2 linked regions of the Drosophila melanogaster genome follow. The protein of the gene in region 1 interacts with the protein of each later gene in a pairwise test. Each region holds a gene or a part of one and is shown on either strand. Other genes may lie near its edges.

Evidence for each region. Proteins that work in one complex are often made in the same cells at the same time.
Region 2: the proteins of RnpS1 (region 1) and Pnn interact in a two-hybrid assay, tested with the Drosophila melanogaster proteins (one large-scale study listed by BioGRID).

Annotation. Positions count from the first base shown.
Region 1 is NT_033777.3:9,549,814-9,554,359, forward strand, and holds RnpS1 (RNA-binding protein S1), read left to right. Parts: upstream 1-2,220; 5' UTR 2,221-2,369; coding exon 2,370-2,371; intron 2,372-2,447; coding exon 2,448-2,609; intron 2,610-2,877; coding exon 2,878-3,838; 3' UTR 3,839-3,934; downstream 3,935-4,546. Other genes in the region: CG9386 (uncharacterized protein), read right to left, coding at 3,950-4,546.
Region 2 is NT_033777.3:9,738,955-9,743,710, forward strand, and holds Pnn (pinin), read left to right. Parts: upstream 1-1,944; 5' UTR 1,945-2,054; coding exon 2,055-2,188; intron 2,189-2,244; coding exon 2,245-3,014; coding exon of another isoform or gene 3,015-3,022; exon of another isoform or gene 3,023-3,202; intron 3,203-3,245; coding exon 3,246-3,265; 3' UTR 3,266-3,890; downstream 3,891-4,756. Other genes in the region: side-VII (sidestep VII), read right to left, coding at 300-366; CG34409 (uncharacterized protein), read right to left, coding at 4,099-4,475, 4,606-4,713.

The DNA of each region.
Region 1 (4,546 bases):
AAACAAAGAAAATAAAAGTAAAAGAAAACATTGCTATTACATTCAGTTGAGAAACTAATTACTTGGGTTGGTTTAGTTTGGTTAGCAATAAATGTATGTATATGTGGAATAATATTAAAATATAGATCTATATATATAAAGCCTGGTTTTAATTGCGGCCAATGAGTATTAATGCCAATGTAATGCAAATTAGACGTAAAATATAGGCAGGCAGTACAATATACAAATGCTTGTTTATCATAACGATAATGGTTGTAATTGTGGTTCAATATACAGTTGCAGTTAAACTAATAGTGCTGTAAACTATTTTTGGTTTGTAGTCTCTGAGAAATGGTTACTTGAATATGTTGAAGTGGAGTAAAGTTTCTTCTAAGAAGAAGGTTAGTGTTGCTTAAAACAGACATTTAAGTAGAAATATTATATATATTATATAATATTATATATATTATATAATGGAATTCTATAATTTGTACCCCAAAGATATTCTCCGCAATTATATAGTGATATATTCTTAGCATAAGAAGTTCTTTTTCTTTTCATAACATAAATTTCGATGCTTTTAAAATGGAAGCACTAAGATTTTGGAAGCACCCTCTTCGTATAACGACTGTGTCACGGCATAAAACCCCTCTTTGATCAGGGTATTTGTGGTAAATATTATTATAAAGATAAGATAAGTGCATTTCTAAACATAGATTATAAGACTTAATGCAGCGATAACATATACTTATGTATGTATGTATGTATATAAAGAGCGACCTCTTCGGTGCTCTCCTTCAACATTGTAAATAGACTACATTTCCGTAATTTAACTATTATTTTGACCACAAATGTGTGTGCGCGTTCTTCTATGCATACTTGGGCAGGGTCGGTGTTCGAGTTGGGGTCACACTACGCCCTCTCAAAATTAAAACAATAAATTATAAAAAATATACGCATATACACACAAGGAAGCAGGCATCAAAATATTCGCTTTTTCCATGGAGTCCGGACCCCAACACACATACACACTCACACCGATGCACAAAGAAACCGAGAGAGGGAGAGCAGAGAGCGGCACTGAGAGCACGTGAGAGGACCCACCTACTGTGCATACATGTGTCTGTTGGCAGCTCCTATTGTTGTTGCTATTGCGTAGTCATGACAGTCAACTTCATCGAATGCTCTTTTTCGCTTTTCTTAGTTTCGTTTTCTTTACACACATTGATTATATGAATATATGGATATGTATACCAACGAAACTCTTGTTGGCTAGCTGGTTTTTGGCAATTACGCTGCGCTGTGGCGTTTCAAAACACGATGATGGGGCTAAAAAAATGTGCCTTTGAGGTATAGACACTGGTTAATTTGCATTGACTGCTGCCACAACATAACTGCACTTTGCACTCACACACACACTAAGATATGTTTTTCAACGCAAAGCATTCGGGGCGGGGTTTTAATATTGCTATTGAGCTACAGGCAGAGTAATCCGAAATATTAAGAATAATAATACTACACACCAGACGCGGAGCTCCCGACTCGACGGCAGACAAAGACGCAGTGTGGTAAAATGTGCCCAGACCAGACGGGGCGCTCCTCTCTCTCACACTCTCTTTCTCTCTCTCGTTTCCGCTGCGAGTGTAGATATATGGATGGAAAATCGAAACTCTGTGGCTGTGGCCAGCCCCCGCGGCCCCCTTTTGCTATCTCGCTTGCTCGCATGGACAAAATCAACACAAGTTCACACACATACAGGCACACGGATGTGAACTCACAATGACAACCACTTCGTCACCAGCAGATAAAAAAGTGCTGGCCTTAAATCAATTGCGTTTTATGTAATTCCACTACATTCGTACGTTACGAAAACAAGCACTATTCATATTACACGGTATACATTATTACTTCCTATCGAGTCCAAATTGCTAGGCAGGAAAGGTCTTAAATTTTTACGCTTTATGGGAGTTTACCTTGGGTTCGACCTGACAAAGAGTGTGGCCGCGGCGAGACTGTGAGAAATTACCAAGTGGTGTCTGTTATCTTAATCCCAAATACTCTAGAAACATTTGTATACTAGAATTTGAGATTTAAGCATATTATAAAAGAAATTTATTTATATTTAACTAAAAATGCTTCTTAATATTCGCAAAACAGTTTTTTAATAGCAAAGTAAAGGAACTGGATTTTATTTTAATAAGTGTGTATTCTATTTTTTTGTCATATTTACACGTTCACAAACACGGCCACACTAATCTCCACTGAAAACGCTACTCGCATTTAACTCTAGTTGAGAAAAACAAGATTTATTAATAAAAACATTTTAGCTTGCACCTAAAAGAGTGTGCGGTACTATAAAACTAATCGTTTAACAAATCGGCAATACGAAAATGTAAGTATCTGCACCACATTTTGCTCCCTAAATGGTCTAAAACAGCTCGCTTTTCTCGACAAATAAAAAAAAACAGGGCGCGTGCCCAGAGTCTCGCCGGCGAGGGTGAGAAGGAAAAGGACAACAAGGAGAAGGTCGCCAAAGAGAAGGACGGCAAGGCGACCAGCGGCTCCTCGCGCAGGGACCGCGAACGCAAACGCCGCGGATCGGCGTCCTCCAGCAGCGACTCCAGAAGCAGGTAAATCAGCCGGCAAAGGTCTTTCCCACAAATGGCTGCCATCTGCCAACCGGAATAAGGGTTACTTTTAAAAGGAAGTCCTTCTTCTTCTGTAAAACGTAGCAGATAGTACGGGAAGAAAATAGCCTTCGAGCGAAAAGATTTTGTAAAAATTCACATACCATATATGGTAAAATTTCATCACAGTTAGGAAGTGTTTTACTTTGTACCAGCTTCATTGCCGTTTTCTTGGTTACGAGAAGTAAATAAAACACTTCACTTTTTCCAGCACATCGGACAGCAGCTCTTCGCGGAGCAGTTCCGGGTCATCGCGTTCCAGCTCAAGCAGCTCCAGCGACTCCTCGAGCTCCTCATCATCGTCGTCCAGCGATTCGGATCGCAGCGAGAAGAACCGAAGACGTGGCGGCGGCGCTGCTGGCAAAGACAAAGACAAGGATAAGCCCAGCGCCCGATCACGTTCCCGCTCTCGCACCCGTTCCCCCAGGCGTGTCTCCAAATCTCCAAGACCGGGCAGCAAGGCGCGAAAAGAGCCGGAGCGAGATCGCGATCGTCGTAGTCGGTCGAGGGATCGTGCCCGCCGTGCTGGATCCAACGATAGGGCAGCCGCCGATAGCAATAATGTTAAGCGGGAGCGTTCTCGCTCAGCCAGTCGTTCACGATCGCCACGCCGTCGTGGTCGCGGCTCCGTTGAGAGGACGCCGCCACCGAAGCGAAGGGAGCGCTCCCGTTCGCGGACTCGCTCGCCTTCGCCCAAACAGGTGCGCATTCATGTCGGTCGGCTTACCCGCAACGTTACCAAGGACCATGTGTTCGAGATATTTAGCAGCTTTGGGGATGTGAAGAATGTGGAGTTTCCCGTAGATCGTTTTCATCCTAACTTCGGACGCGGCGTGGCGTTTGTGGAATATGCCACACCCGAGGATTGTGAGTCGGCCATGAAGCATATGGATGGCGGGCAGATAGATGGCCAGGAGATTACGGTATCCCCGGTTGTCTTAGTAAAACAGAGGCCGCCCATGCGTCGTCCTTCGCCACCGATGCGCCGTCCGCAAAACAACCGCTGGCGATCCCCACCCCAGTTCAATAGGTTCAACAATCGTGGAGGAGGTGGTGGCGGCGGCGGCGGACGTCGTCAGTCACCCATGAGGAACCGGCGTTCACCACGGCGTCGCTCCCGCTCCCCCATTCGTCGTCGACGCCGCAGCAATAGCAGTGACAGCTCTCGTTAGAGGACACTGATCGACTCCTAGTTTCTACAATTGACACGATTATTGCACTTTTCTTTATATTATAATCCAAATAATAAAGGTGAGCAAATACCACACACATAGAGAGTTAGCTTAGTGTATAAACGAGCACTCAGCATCATCGAGAGGACATCCCAGCGGATGATGAAGCTTGAAAAAGCAGCTACGTTTCTTGATGGTCAAATGGGATTTGGGGAGAGTAGCCGTTGGTTTAGGGGTTCTTATTCCTATGAGATCACCACCGCAGAATTCGAAAACTTCGTGTTTATTGCGCAGCAATGTTTTGATGCCGCCGCACTCGGATTTAATGCCACTCAGCTCCTCCTTGGTGAGAGCCTGGGCAATCTCTCTCATGGGCAGACGACCAGACCATTTATCTTCGTTAGAGTCCAGAATCAGTTTGAAGATCTTAAACACTAGACCATCAATTATGGTCTTATCCACCTGCGTGCAATTTCGAACGCTCTCCTCCTTCTCGCGCAGCTTAATTTTGGCATCTCCGGTCTTATACTTTCTTAGCTCTTCTTGGACAAAGTACTCCAGATCTTCAATAGCCTTTGAGGCTTTTCTCTTAATTCCCAGCAGAGCCAATCGCTTGGTGCTTGGTATTTTTAGACGGTCTTGTAGGATCTCATAGCCACATTCATGAGAGACCTGAGTGACGTATTGAAAGAAATCCTGGTAGGCACT
Region 2 (4,756 bases), 190 kb from region 1:
AAAAATTAAGTTATAATTTGTTTTTATTTTAAGCTAACCATTTAAGATTTGGAAAGCTAATAATATACTAAGAGAAAATATGTAGGTACATATATATATATTTATATATGTATATATCACATGGCCTTAGCCGGTTAGCTAAAAAAGATATGTTAAATCAACCAAACCGCAATCAAAAATTTTTGCTAAAGAAATCAAAAAAAGTTTTACAGTTACATTCATTAATAATTTAATCATGCTCATTTTTGGATACTATTTTTTAAGCATTCTGAACATTGAAGATACAAGTTTTGACTTACCATCTTTACTTCCGATGCTGGATTCTATAAGTTGAAGTGCTAGCATAAACAGCAGCAGTAACTCCATGTTGTATATTTATTGGAATAGCACTGGTTAGTTGTTGATTACATCGACTTAATGACTTTCATATCTAGTACGCTATTGGCCACTATTGCAGATTGGTACGTTTAATTGGTTAGAAGTTACATTTTATCATCTGAATTTTCACGGAAGATGAGCACACCAACACTTGTGCATGAGCACTCAATTACACATCTACACGGGATATAACATTGTATGTATAACACATAGGTTTATATATTTTGCCAGTAGTTGCGTACACGGTATATCTAAGTTAAAGGATATTTTCGAGGATATTTGATAGTCTCGTATTTCATTTAGCACTGAAAACTGGTTAATAATGTTTTGAAGATTACTTAAATGGTCACGGTTTTGATTTTATTCAACGAACAAGTATGTATGTATGCGTGTATGTCTTTTCGTATGAACTGGTATATGTTTGACAAAATTCCAGGATACACTTTACTATATCTTATTCTTGTATGCGCACATTCACAGGATATTGAGTGCGGTTTCACTCGAAATAAATGTATTAAGCCATGCTTGAACTACTGTTTTTTTTTTTTTAATAAAAACCAAGGTGGAAAATAACGAGCACTGGCAGAAAGTTATATTACTTTTCTAGCCGCGATGCGAAACTAACACGTCGAAATTCCATCGCACTACACCTGCAAACCTGGGCTAAAAAGCTCCTCCGGCGGGCGCAGGCGCTTCGCAGGAAGCTTTTGATGTAAACATTGCAACTATGACCTTTGTACATGTGAATGTACGTGCATCCGCTTGTCTCGCTCAATATAATCGTCCTTCTTTTCTCTGAATATGATGTGTAATTGGTCGGCATCGAAACTTTGACTTCATACTGCACTCATTTCGATATTAACCCCTATTTTAGATGTCCTTGTCCATAGGCTTGCGTGTCCACATCGACATCACTAATTTCACGCTGTCCATTGTAATCTATTTTAAAAACAAGCTGAAAAGTCACGGAGGCGTGCAGGTCCGACCTTTTAATGTACGCGAAAGTACATATACTGTGAAAGCTCTCCGGACGGACAGCTGCAATGGTTCTCTCGACTTCTCTCGCTCTGATGACCGTCTTATCCTTTTTGCCGGACAAAGAAACTGAAACCTACGCAGTCCGCCCATGGTATCTAGTTTCATTTCATCTGCGAGTACAGATACTTTCAGGCGGACGAGAGGTTCAAGTGGGGTTACGTCAAGGTGCATGAGACTAGAAATGAGACTTAGGACAGTCACTTACTGATTGCTGATATGATTACTTAATCATAAATAAATTGGTATAAACAAAAACTATTATCATGTCATTGTTTTTAAATACAAATGCCTTATAAAGTTAAATTGAGAATACAAGAAATGTAGTTATATTTTTTTTATAGGGGATTCCCGAACAAGCATTTGTAATTTTTTCCCCATAGATAGTAGTTGGAGATTATTTCGGATTTTGAAAAGATAAGGAGATCGTTTAAAAGTATATAACAAATATATATATATAAAAGTAAAAACTATCGATGTCCCGTCACGACGAATCGATAGTACCAGGACCATCGCTGTTTTCCGCCAGCACTAGTAACCTCTCATCCCTAAGTATTGTTTTTTTACTTTTATGAGCATCTAATTGTACCGACTTAAGTAAAATAATTAATTAAACAAAACCTAACTGAAACGTGGGAACAATGGTGAATGACTCTGGTCTATCGACAGTGGACGACTTGGAGCAAAAACTGAATTCGGCCAAGCAGTCGCTGGTGATCCTAAATGAAAACATTCGCCGCATTGCTGGTCGCGTCCCCAAGGAATCCCTGCAGAGGTATGAATCCAAGTTGTGCTTAATTTAATTAATTACTTAATGCCGCTGCATTTCAGATCGGAAAAATTCAAATACACCCAAGATGGCAAGAAGAACGAGCACAATGGGGACCGACCGTTCCCCCGAAATGCAACACCCGGTGGGGTCTTCAAAGACAAGCGGCGAATGTACGAAAGCAAGAATCCAATTTCCCGTTTCCCAATCGAAGAAAACGAGGGTCGTCCGCCACGGATTAACTCGCGGGTCATCCGGGAGATGCCAACTAAAAAGGAGATTGTCGAGGCACAGGGCACAGACTCTGAGTCGAGGGCCAGGAATCGCAGGATGTTCGGATCGCTGTTGGGAACCCTACAGAAGTTCTGTCAGGAGGAATCGCGACTGAAGAGCAAGGAGGATAAAAAGGCTGAGATCGATAGGAAGGTGGAAAAGCAGGAACTGCAGGAAAGAGCGATGCTGAGGAAACAGCGTGAAACACTATTCTTAGATAGGAAAAAAAAGCAATTCGAGATCCGTAGATTAGAGTACAAAATGGCCAGAATGAAGGACTTCAAGGTCTGGGAAGCAACTATGTTGAATGCGAAAAATAACATCCGAACAAAAACGAAACCACATCTGTTCTTTAGGCCAAAAGTGCATTCGCCTAGAACGGAAAAATTGTTGAGCAAAAGCAAAAGTGAAGCTGATGTGTTTATAGAATTCCGGCGCGAAGAATTGGAAGTTGAGCTTAAAAACTTGGAGAACATGAACTTTGGGAAGATGGAAGACGATACTGCAATAGACGAAAGTTTCTATGAAGAGCCTGACGACGAAGAGCAGTTGGATAAGTGTAAGTAAACTTCAGTTTGCACTAGGGCTTGAAATATGATCGTGCGGATATCGCTGTGTAGGGCAATTGGGTTTCAATTTATAAAACTTATTTATGAAACTTTAATTTATAATACAAAAACCAGATCTTAAGCAAATAAATTACAATGCGGTGATTACATTTAAAAGTTATATCGTATTTATCAACTCAAATACCTTTGTTTCAATGTTCTACTTCCTGTTTTTATTGCAGCTTTATTATACGTTAAGTAAAGTACCCAAAAGTAAATGATGCTATTCTAGGAATAAAGGATTACAACTAATGCAATTTAACAAATTATTTGCAAAAGCAATTGTTTTACTTCACCGAATGAAGGGGTGTTTAAGAACATCAATTTGTGGACAAAACCAGTTATTCTTTATTGCCATTATTTATGTCCTACTAGAAATAAAACTTGGAAAAAAAAAATTGTTTACTGCAAGCAAGCTATATTTGTATCTTTCAAAAGAATTTGTAAAATTGTAAATAAAACTAAAAAATATTTTACACGCAAGATATTGGATCGCGAAATAGGAACATTAAATACCTAATTATGTATTTATAGATATAATCATCCTGAAGCTAAATCACATATTTTATTCTCGCTTCCAAATTGTTTGAGGAAGTAACTAATTTAAAATGAGGCGTTAAAACAATTATAATTCTTTAAGCGATAAGTTAAGAACTCTTATAAGATAATTATACCTTCTTCGCCGTCTATTAACATTATTAATTAAGACCAGTAGTCAGAAGCAATTAATGAAAAAATAATATGTTAACCTCTGATTCTTGTACTGTATTCGTGTAAAAAAAGAACATTGTTTTTCTGAAAATAAAATGAGAGCATTGACATCCGCCATATACAGTAGAAAAATACAAATTTGATGAATACGATTGTTATACACGTACATTTTATTGAAATTTAGGTGATTTGAAGTGGAACCGAATTTTTGTATTTATCCGTAGAATGTATGAATCATTGTTCTTTACGTCGATGTATTCTGAAGACTTTGGCATTGGAAGCTTTGGATGTAATTTGCTAGGGATGGGTTCCCAACACGACCGCTCACTGGTCAGATCCTTCGGCGATGCTTCGCAGTATCCAATCGGAGAAGCTACTCACCAGGGTGTAGACCCCCGGAATGGTGGTCACGCCGCACAGCGTCGGTCCAAAGGCCACGATGCCGATGATCGTATAACGTCCACTTGTTCCAAAGACGCCGGAGGTACCGTCGTCCATAAAGGGGCCGCCACTATCGCCTCGGCACACGTCATTCATGGGCATTCCCTGGGCGCACAGGTGGTTGGGAGTAATCACAATAGGCTGCTGGAAGTTCTCACTGAGACTGGCATAGGCGATGGCGCAACTGGTGGTGTTCACGATGGGCAAACGGATGAAGCGCACCCCAGCGGTGGAGTTTGAGGGGTCCATCGAACTATTATCTGGATAAAATTTGTAGTAGAGAATGTTATATACATTTAAAACCTAATATGCACTGAATTATATTTCGATCGCATTGATAGTAAGTTAAAAAATGTAACAGATCAGATATAAAGTTGTTTCGAGACTAACTTTCAGTACTCCCAATACTCCAACCAGCAGCCACTCCAATTTGTCCTATCAGCCTGTTTCCCAGTGTGATTGGCCCGTTGAAGGGTAAGCATATGGGTGTGAAAGTGCCTGCAAGGTTGGTGGTGGTTATTCAGCGTAATCATTGACCTAG